Neurospora crassa OR74A: one gene and its partners. The protein of the gene in region 1 interacts with the protein of each later gene in a pairwise test. Links are inferred from orthologs where the notes say so. Each region holds a gene or a part of one and is shown on either strand. Other genes may lie near its edges.

Region 1 (4,031 bases):
CAGGCTTGAGGACGCAGAGGGCGAGGTTGAGGGCTGCGAAGAGGAGCTGTGACTGGACGTAGATGTCAAGATCATGCAGGCCTGTGACGTCGGGCGCACCATCGCTGATGACCAGATCCACTGGGTGTGAGGCTTGCGGGTTCATGGTGCTTGGGTCGAAATCGGGGTCCAACGCCTTAAGCAAAAGCGGAACGGTGGCGGGATGTGTGATGTCGGCTCGGAGAGTGATGATTCCTGGCAGAGGGCTGATGGGCTGCAAGTCGATGGACACAATCTTGACCTGTTCCCTGGGAGCCGGCGTGCTCTCCTGAGTCGCCTGCACCCTCTGAACCTCATCCTGAGCGTCTTGCTTCTCGGGAAAGACGTTGAGCATCTGTTGGCGGAACTTGGCCTCACGGTCTTGCCAAGCACACCGGCCGAACTTCTCTCCCTTGATGAGAACCCTCGATAGAACCTGAGACCAGGAACCGGGGGCAGCGCAGAGATCGACCACACGAGTGACATTTTCAAACAAGTTGAATTCTGATGGGAACGCTCGGTGTTAGCGGTGATACACTTCTTTACATTACATATGCAATAAACAGTTCTTACCTTCGTCTAGTTGAAGAAGCTTGAAGGCACTTCTGGCACGCCATCCTTGCTCCTTTGCAAGGCGATAGTAGGCATCACGCTTGTCTTTTGATGATTTCCCCATTTTGAATGCTTCGCTCTCACTTACTTGTGTCGAATAATGAAGTGCCGCGAGTGGGTGACGAGAGTGAATGACGGGAGCTTGTGAAAGAGACTGGGCCCCACTTTTGCCTGGTGACGGGTCGCTGTCGCTGGGCGCCGATTTGGGTCCGTCTGCTGCAAATAGTCACCGCCAAAAAGGATTCTGCCGGCATAATTATCGAGCACCTTGGCGGCCCCAGCACTCGCACACCATAGACGCGCATACTTGGAGGGAAGGACTTTGGCGATAAACGAAAGCTTTGAATCATAAGATGTCGTCTCATGTTTTGTTTCCTCCATCAAAGTCAGACTGATTGTTTCCACGTCCTATTCTGTCGGCACCCTCTACACTACAAGCTTGTTAGCCAGACCTGGAATAGGTAGGCGGTGTCATTTACAGCACATGGGCTAGCCTGTTCCAGCTAGAGGCTGCTGCAACCCAGCTGCAAGGTGGAGCCAAAATTTCCATTTCACTTTTACAGCCATTTTCACTGAGCAGTGTCAACAACACCCTTCAAATCAAAGTTCATCAGTGCATCCAACAACCTCAAGCACTCAAACCCGACACCCTTTTCCACCCGAAAACGACGACATATTCACACCATGGCCGTCGATAAGAAGCGCAAGAACACAAAAGCCCCCGCCAGCGGGCCAAAGCGCCGCAAGACGCAACCGTCGTCTAAGCAGATCAAGCGACCTGTTTCCGTTGATGCGCTGGCATGGAAGACGGTCGACATTCCTGAAATGTTCGATGATGCGGAGGGTTTCTTTGGTTTGGAGGAAATTACCGGTGTTGACATTGTAAAGGATGGCGATGTTGTCAAGTTCGTAAGTTGGGTCATGGATGATGACAGCGACAGGACATGAATGAACTCACATATGTCTTTAGATGGCTGCGGTCCCCAAGTCGGAGGCAGAGGTAGAAGATGACGGCGAAGAGTTTGGTGGTTTCGACGACGAAGAGACACCGAAACCTGCTGGAAATGCGGACCAGGAAGTCAAGACATCAGAAACCAAGGCCGAAGCTGCGAGTACTCCAGCCAAGGAAAAGAAGGCCTCCAAGGACCAGAGGAAGCCAAAGGAGCAGCAAAAGCAGCAAAAGCAGCAAAAGCAACAGCCAAAGAAGGAGCAGCCAAATAAGGCAGCGAATAAGAAGAACGCCGAGGACAAGAAGAAGGCCCGCAAGAACGAGAAAACTACTGTCGAGCCGAAGGACCCCGAACTAGAAACCGATCTTTTCACCAAACTGGAGGAGCTTCCTGAGCCTGAAGAGGAGGAAATTGATATGTCCGAATGGGTGCCACTCGATTTGTCACCTCGTATGATCTCGTCCATCGCCAAACTCAGGTTCTCCAAGCCCACCGTGATTCAGTCCAAGGCTATTCCCGAGATCATGGCTGGTCACGACGTTATCGGAAAAGCATCCACCGGTTCGGGAAAGACGTTGGCATTCGGAATTCCCGTCATCGAAAGCTGGTTGAGCGCTGCTGAGACGAGGAAGCAGAACAAGGAAGAGAGAAAGGGCGCTACAGCGCTGATTTTGTCACCCACCAGAGAACTTGCCCAGCAGATCAGAGACCATCTTCAAGCGCTTTGCAAAGGTCTTCCTACAGCACCTTACATTTGCTCGGTTCTTGGTGGCATGGCCGTACAGAAGCAAAAACGACAGCTCCAGGTCGCCGATATCGTCATTGCGACCCCGGGCAGAATGTGGGAGGTTATGAGCTCAGATAACTCTGTGCTCGCTTCTCTGAGGAACATCTCCTTCCTCGTGTTGGATGAGGCAGATAGACTTCTTAAGGACGGTCACTTCAAGGAGGCCGAGGAGATTTTCAAGGCTCTTGACAGGCCACCGGTGGAAGAGAACAATGAGGATCAGAAGATGGGCGGTACTGATGAGGAGGGACAGGAAGAGGAAGAAGAGGACAGCGAGGAGGAGGAGGAGGAGGAGGAAGAGCACGTCAACAAGAGGCAGACTCTCATTTTCTCCGCCACGTTCAACAAGAACTTGCAGCAAAAGTTGGCCGGAAAATCCAAGTTCAAGGCGACGAGCACCCAGGACATGGAGTATCTTCTCCAGAAGCTGAACTTCCGCGAAACCCCCAAGTTTGTCGACGCCAATCCCGTCCACCAAATGGCCGAGAACCTCAAGGAGGGTCTCATTATGTGCGGCGACATGGAGAAGGATCTCTACCTCTATGCCACTCTCATGCTCCAGCCCACACGGCGCGCGCTTGTATTCACCAACTCGGTCAACTCTGTCCGTCGCCTAACCCCCCTCCTCGAGAACCTCAATCTTCCAGCCTTCCCTCTCCACTCGGGCATGATCCAGCAAGCCCGTCTGCGCTCTATCGACCGCTTCAAGGCCAACGAAGGCGCAAAGAAAAAGAACGGTTCTGCAGCTATCCTGGTCGCTACCGATGTTGCTGCCCGTGGTCTCGATATCCCCGACGTCGACCTCGTCATCCACTACCACGTCCCGCGCGCCGCCGAGGACTACGTGCACCGCTCCGGCCGTACCGCCCGTGCCTCCAACTCGGGCACGAGCATCCTGCTCTGCGGGCCCAAAGAAGCCGTGCCGACGCAGCGCCTCGTTGCCAAGGTGCACGCCCAGGCCGAGGTCAAGGCCGGCAACTCGGGCAACAACACCAAGAAGCTCGTTTCGAGCGGACTTCGCACCATCGATATCGACCGGCGCATCGTCGCCAAGTTGCGGGAGCGCGTCGACTTGGCCAAGAAGATCGCGGATGCGGTGCAGGCCAAGACCATGGGTGGAAAAGAGGACGATTGGATGAAGAAGGCGGCAGAGGACTTGGGCGTCGACTATGACTCGGAAGAGCTTGAGAAGGCGGGCAAGTGGGGTGGCAAGGGTAGCTCCAAGAAGCAGAAGCAGAAGGAGGCACAGCAGATGAGCAAGGGCGAGTTGGCGTCGCTGAGGGCTGCGTTGAGAGACCTCTTGAGCAAGAGGATCAACACGGGCGTCAGCGAGAGGTACCTCACTGGACTGGATGTTAGTGAGCTGCTGAAGGGCGAGCAGGGGCTGTTTTTGGGCCAGGTGGACGGATTGGGCTTGGATGATTAGACGCAGATTCATGGCTGTGGTATTGCATGTTTCCTTTCACGGTTAACCATTTAATTCTGAGCGGTGATCTACATATAGTATCCGGTCTCTTCACTCTGAGTAAGATGTCTTGTATTTTTTCTCTCGTGTTTTGTTCTATAAGGCACTAAAAGAACAGTTCACGTCTTGGACTGTGCTGCCAAGTGAGACAGGGTCCATGGGTCCATCAAGGTCTCCATCTTCCCCATGGCCTAGATTC
Region 2 (3,966 bases), on another chromosome or scaffold:
AGATCGCGCAGGTGGTAGTTTGGCAGCAAATTCAGGCTCTTCGTCACTCAGGTCTTCCGAGGCCTCTTCGTCACCCACTTCTGCTTCTTCTGAGGGAGTGTTTCGCCCGCTGGCAGTGTTTTCCGGTTCGTAATCAGATTTGATTTGCTGCTGAAGCTTGCTAGGGCTGCGCTCGAACGTCCGATCGCGGCGGTCGGTGAATTGTCGAGTGCCAGGCTCACCCGCGGTGTCTACGATGTCGCGCGATACTCGATCTTTCGGTGGTGTGTCGTAGAGCCTCTCTGTCTCTGCCTCGGAGTCATTAATATCCACGTCCGACAGCTTGCTCTCGTCGTCAGTCTCAGCGCCAAGGTCCGAGTCGACGCCATCGCGATTGTCAGTTCGGACCGATGTCTCGCGATGTTGAGAGTGGTTACTGTTCATGTCCAAATCCATGTCGTCAGGATCTCCATGCTTGTCTTCCACGTCACTAAGTGGGCTTGACACATCGCTAGGGCTGTGTTGGAGCAGAGGCGGAGGGGGGCTCGAGAGAGCCAAGGACAGCGCGGTGTCACCGGTAGCCATCGCGGATCATAGAATCCGACGAGATTGAAACTAAGCAACGACGCGCCAATGTTGGGTTGAGCAGCTGAGCAGTGGAAAGTTGGACGGCCACGTAGAATTTAGTCGTGGACGGCGGACTGGACGTCCGAACTGTACGGGCAGCTCAAGAGCAGCACCTGAAGTTGTGGCGCCACGATCAGGGTAAAGTGTGTTTATGCCGGAAGGTTAAAATGTGTGCTCGCACACAATGAAATGTCTCGGAGATATGGCTTTGTTGTCGGTACGAGGGCGCGATTGTCAAGAGATAACGTGCGGTCTGGGTAGGTAAAGTAGTAGGAAGACAGATCGGGAGAGTGAGGAGCGGGCAGTAGGTATCTGGTTGACGACCTAGACTGGGAGCTGGACAAGCGCCCACAGCACCGCACCAGCACGCAACACAAATGGGCAACCGGCAGGTTTCTGGGGGGCTCCATTGCCTGCCCGCTTGCCTGCCGCCGCCGCCCGTCTCCAACAGCCCAGCGCACCACACAAAGGCGATGGCAGGCGGTGAGTCTTGGCAGCTTTGATAACAACTGATAAGCGAGTTTTTTTTTTTAATGGGAGGATGCAAGATGTTCCACGGTCCTCGACTCGTCCTTACGATGCGCAGTGGGGAAGGTAGAAACGACGACCCTTTGAAACCCTGGACCATTGAACCTGCCTGCATAGAAACTGGTCTTGCCTTGTACAACATCCTGCTAGAAATCAGAAGTGGAAGCTTTGCAATTCGATTTTGACAGCATTTACAGCCAATCACATCTTTCGCCTCGTCGTCGAACTTCAGTTGTTTTTCCGTGCTCTTAGAACTAAGTCAATCACAAGTGCTTGATTGGCGAATCGTGCCACTTTCCCATCCATTGCGCTTACACACGACGGAAAACTCACAATGGGTAAAACGTGCGAACAGCCCTACGCTACAGTCAACGCCATTCTTCCAGTATTCTGACACCACTATTATAGTAAAGGACTCGTTGCGCCGGTGAAGAAGGTTGATCCTAGCTTGGATGCTTTGTTTGCTACCAGTGTAAGTCATCTCGCTCTGACCAGACAGGCAATTGGAAGTTTACATGGCTAATCTTGTGTAGGTTGGTCCAGCGAAGCCCCGCCCAGCTGCAAAATACTCCGAGCCCCTACCGACAAAGTCCAAGAAGGCGCCAGTACCTTCCAAGAAAGAGGAAGACGTTCAGGACGAGGGCGATGACGAGGAACTGAGCGAGCTTGACGAAGAATACGATTCCGAGGTCGGCATTGGAGAGGATGACGAAGACGACGAGGCTGAAGACAACAGTGACAGCGAAGACGAAGCCGTCGCGACCCTCGAAGTTGTTGTAGAACAAGGAAAGGTCCCGGAAGAAGATGGACCGAAACGGAAGCGGAAGCAACCCGACCAGCACGACAATCTCGAACACAAATACCTGTCCAAGTTGGCGGAGGACGATGAAGAGCCGGCTGGCAAGCGTCTCAAGGCCGACGAGCAATCCGGAGAAAAGAAGGATACCGCCAAGGCCGAGAAGAAGGACGACGACGACAGCGAGTCTGCGGATGAGGTCCCCGTTCACGAATCGCTAGCGCCCGATGCTGCCCAGAACGAGATTGAGAAGGCCAACCGCACCGTCTTCCTCAGCAATGTCGCCGTCGAGGCCGTCACCTCTCGTTCGGCCAAAAAGGCCTTGATGAAGCATATGGCTTCAGTGTTGGACAAGGAGGCGAAACCTGCGCAAAAGGTTGAGTCGATACGGTTCCGCTCGACTGCCTTCGCTACCGCTGCCATTCCCAAGCGTGCCGCTTATATCAAGAAGTCCGTGATGGAGGCCACTACGAAGTCGACAAACGCCTATGTTGTCTACAGTACCCCTGCGGCCGCTCGTCTTGCCTGCTCGAAACTCAACGGCACAATCGTGTTGGATCGCCACATCCGTGTCGACAGCGTTGCCCATCCTGCCCCGGTAGACCACAAGCGCTGCGTCTTCGTCGGTAACCTTGGTTTTGTGGATGACGAGACAGTACTGCAAGTGAAGGTAGACGAAGACGGTAAGGAGGTGACCGAGAAGAAGAAGCGGACAAAGCAGCCTATGGACGTTGAGGAAGGTCTCTGGCGGGTATTCGGTAAAGAGGGCGGCAAAGTTGAGAGCGTTCGTGTGGTCCGCGACCCTGTCACCCGTGTCGGCAAGGGCTTCGCCTACGTTCAGTTCTGCGTGAGTTATCACTTCTCTCTGTCTCTTACTTGCCCGTTATCAACTAACAACTCTGTTCCCCCTCCGTAGGATGAAAACGCCGTCGAGTCAGCCATCCTCCTCAACGGCAAGAAATTCCCGCCCATGCTCCCCCGCGAGCTACGCGTCAGCCGCTGCAAGGCCCCTCACAAGACCCTGCGTGCCATCGAAGCCAAGAAGCTCAAGGCGCAGGGTGCCGTTCCGGAAACTATGAAGAAAGGCAACAACGGGAAGAAGGGTCCTGGCTCCAAGAAATCCGACTACGCCCCCAAGATCTCCGCCGAAGCCAAGACCATCGCCGGCCGCGCTGAGAAGCTCCTCGGCAAGTTCACTGCCAGACAGGTCATCGGCTCCGACAAGAAGAAGACTTTCAACAAGCAGGACAGATACCAGGCCAACCAAAGGAGGAATCACGCCTCGGGCGCCAACACGGAGGCGACCGGTCCCAGAGTCCCGGGCGCCTACAAGTCCCCCGAGAGTTTCATTCTCGAGGGTAAGCGTGCTAGTGCGGCAGACGGAAAACCTAAGGATCTCAAGTTCAAGGGCGCCAAGAAGAACAAGGCGCCGAATGCGGGTGGTGGTAAGAAGAAGACTGGTCGTGCTGCTGCGAGGGCTTCGAAGTGGAAGGTTCAAGGGAAGGGGAAGAAATAAGTGCTAGGCCATTTGCCTGATGTTTAGGGTTGTTTGCTGGTATAGAGCCAACGGGCAGCAGCCGGCGTGGTGCGGGTGCGCGCGTTTCATCCGGCGCGGCCCGTGGATTTTCAAGCTTCAAGAAAAGGGGCAGAATTCGAAAGTGAACAGAAGCCTTCGATTCATGACGCGCGCATGTATGGATAGGATAGGATAGGCTGTAATGCAGTCATCGCATATGAAGGTATCTCAACGGACTGTCCCCAACCGCGTGATACTTCGCAATGACGGGAATGTGGAGGAAGAGCCTTGGCGCCCAGAACTAGGTACATATGTAGTTGTCTGAAATTGCAGTATAACCGTGGAACGACTGTTAAGCCTGGCTCCGTGGTTCTTGCGACAGGGAATCGCAAACAATACAAAAATTAACAACACGGCCACATTGAAAGAAAATAAAAAAGAAACAACGTGTAAAGCCTTCAAGTGCACCATACCAACTTTCTACATGATGTCTCGTGGAATTGTGGGTGAGCTGTGTAGG
Region 3 (3,999 bases), on another chromosome or scaffold:
GAACATAAGGTTGAAGGCCACGGGAGGCTCAGGCTGGACACCGGTGGCGGGGTTCTTCAAGTCGTACTTCTTGATGAGCTCGCCGAGCTGCTCGCCGTTGTAGTTGTCGATCTGGGCGAGGATCTCCTCGTACTCCTTGACGACGGCGTCCTCGAGCTTGACAGCCTCGGTACCCTTGGCCTTCTTCTTCTTGCGCTTAGGGTCCTCCTCCTTGTCCTCTACCTTCTGGCCGCGAGCCTCCTTGTCGCCCTTGAGGCGGGCCTCGAGAACGTCCTCGACGAAGTGGTCGGCGCGCAGAATGTCGCCGTTCTTGGGGTCCTTGCACATCCAGTCGGCGAACTTGTCGACGTGGCCGGAGGTCTTGAGAACATCGTGGGGGGTCAGGGCGGTGCAGTCAACCTCGAGCATGTCCTCCTCGAGGACAAAGTGCTTGCGCCAGATGTCGATGATGTTGGCCTGGAGGGCACAACCGGGCGGGCCATAGTCGTAGAGGCCAGCAACACCGCCGTAGATATCGAAGGAGGGCGCAAAGAACATGCGGCGGCGCAGCATGGACTCGAGAGCGCCCTTGTCGAGGGGCTGGCCCTTGAGGGTGGTGGCCGTCGAGGTCATCTTGGTGTTTTGTTTTTTGACGTAGACTTGGAAGCGATGGTGCGAGGTAGAGAGGGAGAAGGATCGGAGCGAAGTCGAAGAGATCCGCGGGATGGGCGCCGGGGTCCAAGAAGTTCGACTGGCGACGGCTCGGGTGGATAAGGTCGATTTGAATGCTTGACCAGCAACAGGAGAACGGAGGGAGGCGAGACGGGCAAGAGGTCGCATGAATTGGTCTTGTTACAGTGCTCAAGGGAACCAAGTGAGTCACGGTCGCCCACTGAGGTTTCGTCGAGGCCTTTTCAATTGAAACACGTACTTCAACCGAATCGCGGGATGATTTTTTTCTTTGGGGGGGTAGAGGGGCGCCATGGAGGGGCCGGCACCAACGACCCAGACAACCTAAGCCAAGGGACAGCGGTCCAGATTCCCGCTCTCGAGCCGCCGTCAGTGGCGGCGCGGTACGCGACAGAAGGCTCGACTCGCTGGAATCCACCAGCCATATCAGGAAGTGGAACTGCACATGCTACTGTACACTACCTCTACCTACCTAAGTAACTCCCTTACAGAAAGCGCATTCCGCTGGCTAGCGTTATTGTGACTTTTCATCGGCTAGAGGTATTGATATTTGATTATCAAGAGTCCGTGATGCCGCCGTTCTTCATCCCAAAAATTCTGCTTCCGTCCCAACTTACAGCAAGGGACGGGATGGAGTCATCCTGTGCAGGTGACAGTCAGGTAGTAGTGTACACTGAGGGGTAGCGGTACGTACCTGTCCCCGGCTGAGGCCGTGCGTTAGCTGTTGGGGTACCCTTGTAGATGCACGTCTTGGCGCCCTTGATGGCTCTGGGCCCAGAAAAAAAGTTGAAAGTTTACCGGGCCCGTTCAATTCATCCGTCAGGTAGAGGTAGCAACAACTGCCCAGCATCACGTCGAAGTTTGAACTGTGACCTGGAGAATTGATCCTACCCTACAATTTTGACACCGCGACAACCACTAATCCCACCGCCGTGTTACCACATCGTAGCCGATATGCCGTCCGGTAACAAGGGCAAAAACCGCTCCGGCGGATCGCTGTCGCTCAAGACCTCCAACAAGATTGTCAGAAAGCAATTATACGTCAAGCAAAAGAAGGAGCAGGGAAAGGAACGCCATGAGGAGCGTCACCGCCGGAGGAAGGAGGAGGCCAAGGATCCCAAACTCAGAGAAGAGCGCCTCGCAAACAACCAACCCTTGACCATTGAGAGGAAACGCGTGTGGGATGACGTTGACGACGACAGCCTGGGCGTCGCTGTGGATGTTGCCGAGCTCAAGAGGAGGCGCTTGGAGAAGGAGGAGGCCGAGGCCGCCAGGCTAGCCGATGGAGTCACGGAGGAGGATGAGGAGAAGGACGACGATGCCGATTCTATGTTGGACTCGGACGAGGAGGGTGACGACGACGACGAAGATGCCGAGGAGCGCATCGAGAGACTCAGACAGGAGCGTGCGCAGAGGAAACCCAGCATCGCTCCCTCGACCACGTCGACAAATCTAGACATGACTCCCGACTCGCTCACACGACAATTTCCCAATCTCTTCAACGAGGAACCCCCAGTCGACCCCAAGATTCTGGTCACCACCCATTTGAACGGCACCATTCACAAGGAGGCGGAGGACATTGCTGCCATCTTTCCCAACAGCACGTACATCAGACGCAGTGCGCACGCGTATGGACACAAGTATAGTGTTCGCGAGATCGCAAAGTTTGCCAAGAGTGAGTAGCGCACCCAGGTTGGAGTTTTGTTGCCCAAGAGAAAATTGCTAACACAGGCCTGAATTGTTACAGACCGTGGATACACGATTCTCATGATTGTCGGCGAAGATCTCAAGAAGCCTAGCTCCCTGACCGTCATCCATCTCAACGGCGAAGATGTTGCCCCTGGTCCTTCGTTGACATACACCATCCGGAACTACCTGCCTGGAAAGGCTCTCCTTGGCCACGGTAACCCTACAAACCACTACGTAAGCCGTCCATCCTAATCCCCAAGTCCATTAATTACAGGACATTGAGACTAAGCATTGCAACCAAAAAAAAAATACAGCCCGAGCTTCTCCTCAATGGATTCAAGACCCCTCTCGGTATCCTCGCCGCTAAATCCATGCACACCATGTTCCCTCCCAGGCCCGAGCTTTCGGGTCGCCAGGTCGTGACATTGCACAACCAGCGTGATTACATCTTCTTTCGCCGCCACCGCTACGTCTTCCGCGAGGCCCGCACGACGGAGAAGAACGTGGTTACTGCGGAGGGCAAGGAGATGGAGGGTATGCAGGGTATCCGTGCTGGTTTGCAGGAGATTGGACCCAGTAAGTCTTGCTACCGCGGAAAACAAAAGTTTTGGCGAATGAACCGAAAGTGGCTGACTTGTTTTGATAGGATTCACTCTCAAGCTTCGTAGAGTGGATAAGGGTATCGGTCGGGCTGGCAGCGAAGGAGAGGATGCTTTGAAGTGGGAGTGGAAGGCCAAGATGGAGAAGGTTCGCACGCGCTTCAACCTCTAAGGGGGCTGATCATGATAGTAGTATTGGTGATACCCTTCTTTCAGTATGCCATCGTCTCTGTTGGCACTGGAGAGTATTTGTCTTGTTCAAAGTGTGTATGTGGCGTTATCGGTTCACAAAAGGGTTTGGGAGGAAGGCATGATTCATCAACATCAGGTCACTATGACTGTACTTCAAGACTACCTATTTTCTGTGCATGTACCGCCGGTTTCCTCTCCCTTTCTACGATTTATGACCAGCCTTCTTGGCTTCCTCCTTGAGCATAGCCACTGGATATCTAACCCAGCAACGAAATCTCAGCCATTCTGCTCAGTATCATCGGCAAGAGAAGCTGGAGATGCCGCCGAGTTGCGGTGATAGTGGGCGATCCAGATGGTGTAGAGGGACGAGCCGAGGATGCCGAGAAGTGAGAAGAGGATGCCCTAGAGGGTTATGATTTCGACTTGCTTTTGGGTTTGATCTGTTGCTGAACCAGGTACGGTTTTGGTTGAAAGAGGTAAAAGATAGGATATCATAATGACTGACTATCCACACCCCGCACACGACAAGCTGGGACCAAAGCCAACATGGCTCTCTCGGGTAAGACGGAGTGGTAGAGAACGTGATTCGTCACGCCACGATTGGCGTGAGCAAGATCCAAGCGATTTGGTAGAAGGTTACAGAATTAAAAGCTATTAGCCAATGAGGAAGGATCACATCGAGGGACATGGCCACGCTGAGGGGAGTGTCTCGGGGAGAGATGGAGCGAGGACAAAGAGCGAGAGGGGAGGTCGCGAGAGGAGGAAGACGGTCAGGTAGGTGGTGAGGAAGTGGAAGGTTGCGAAGGAGAGCTGGGTTAATTGGAAGGATGGGGTGGAGAAATGGACTGAA

The links.
Region 2: the proteins of NCU04041 (region 1) and NCU09131 interact in binary tests that used the Saccharomyces cerevisiae proteins (3 or more experiments, as listed by UniProt). The link is inferred for Neurospora crassa OR74A from reciprocal best matches to the Saccharomyces cerevisiae genes MAK5 and NOP12.
Region 3: the proteins of NCU04041 (region 1) and NCU00404 interact in binary tests that used the Saccharomyces cerevisiae proteins (3 or more experiments, as listed by UniProt). The link is inferred for Neurospora crassa OR74A from reciprocal best matches to the Saccharomyces cerevisiae genes MAK5 and RPF1.

The regions. Positions count from the first base shown.
Region 1 is NC_026506.1:2,535,175-2,539,205, forward strand, and holds NCU04041 (ATP-dependent RNA helicase mak-5), read left to right. Parts: upstream 1-1,231; 5' UTR 1,232-1,314; coding exon 1,315-1,539; intron 1,540-1,600; coding exon 1,601-3,793; 3' UTR 3,794-3,929; downstream 3,930-4,031. Other genes in the region: NCU04040 (tRNA (uridine-2'-O-)-methyltransferase TRM7), read right to left, coding at 1-522, 592-694. UniProt on the Saccharomyces cerevisiae protein: ATP-binding RNA helicase involved in the biogenesis of 60S ribosomal subunits and is required for the normal formation of 25S and 5.8S rRNAs. Required for the maintenance of dsRNA killer plasmid.
Region 2 is NC_026501.1:5,442,398-5,446,363, forward strand, and holds NCU09131 (nucleolar protein 12), read left to right. Parts: upstream 1-1,166; 5' UTR 1,167-1,468; coding exon 1,469-1,479; intron 1,480-1,542; coding exon 1,543-1,606; intron 1,607-1,667; coding exon 1,668-2,777; intron 2,778-2,846; coding exon 2,847-3,446; 3' UTR 3,447-3,902; downstream 3,903-3,966. Other genes in the region: NCU09130 (hypothetical protein), read right to left, coding at 1-564.
Region 3 is NC_026503.1:3,739,871-3,743,869, reverse strand, and holds NCU00404 (RNA processing factor 1), read left to right. Parts: upstream 1-1,485; 5' UTR 1,486-1,623; coding exon 1,624-2,344; intron 2,345-2,416; coding exon 2,417-2,592; intron 2,593-2,672; coding exon 2,673-2,934; intron 2,935-3,004; coding exon 3,005-3,129; 3' UTR 3,130-3,499; downstream 3,500-3,999. Other genes in the region: NCU00405 (glycyl-tRNA synthetase 1), read right to left, coding at 1-819. UniProt on the Saccharomyces cerevisiae protein: Essential protein. Required for biogenesis of the 60S ribosomal subunit.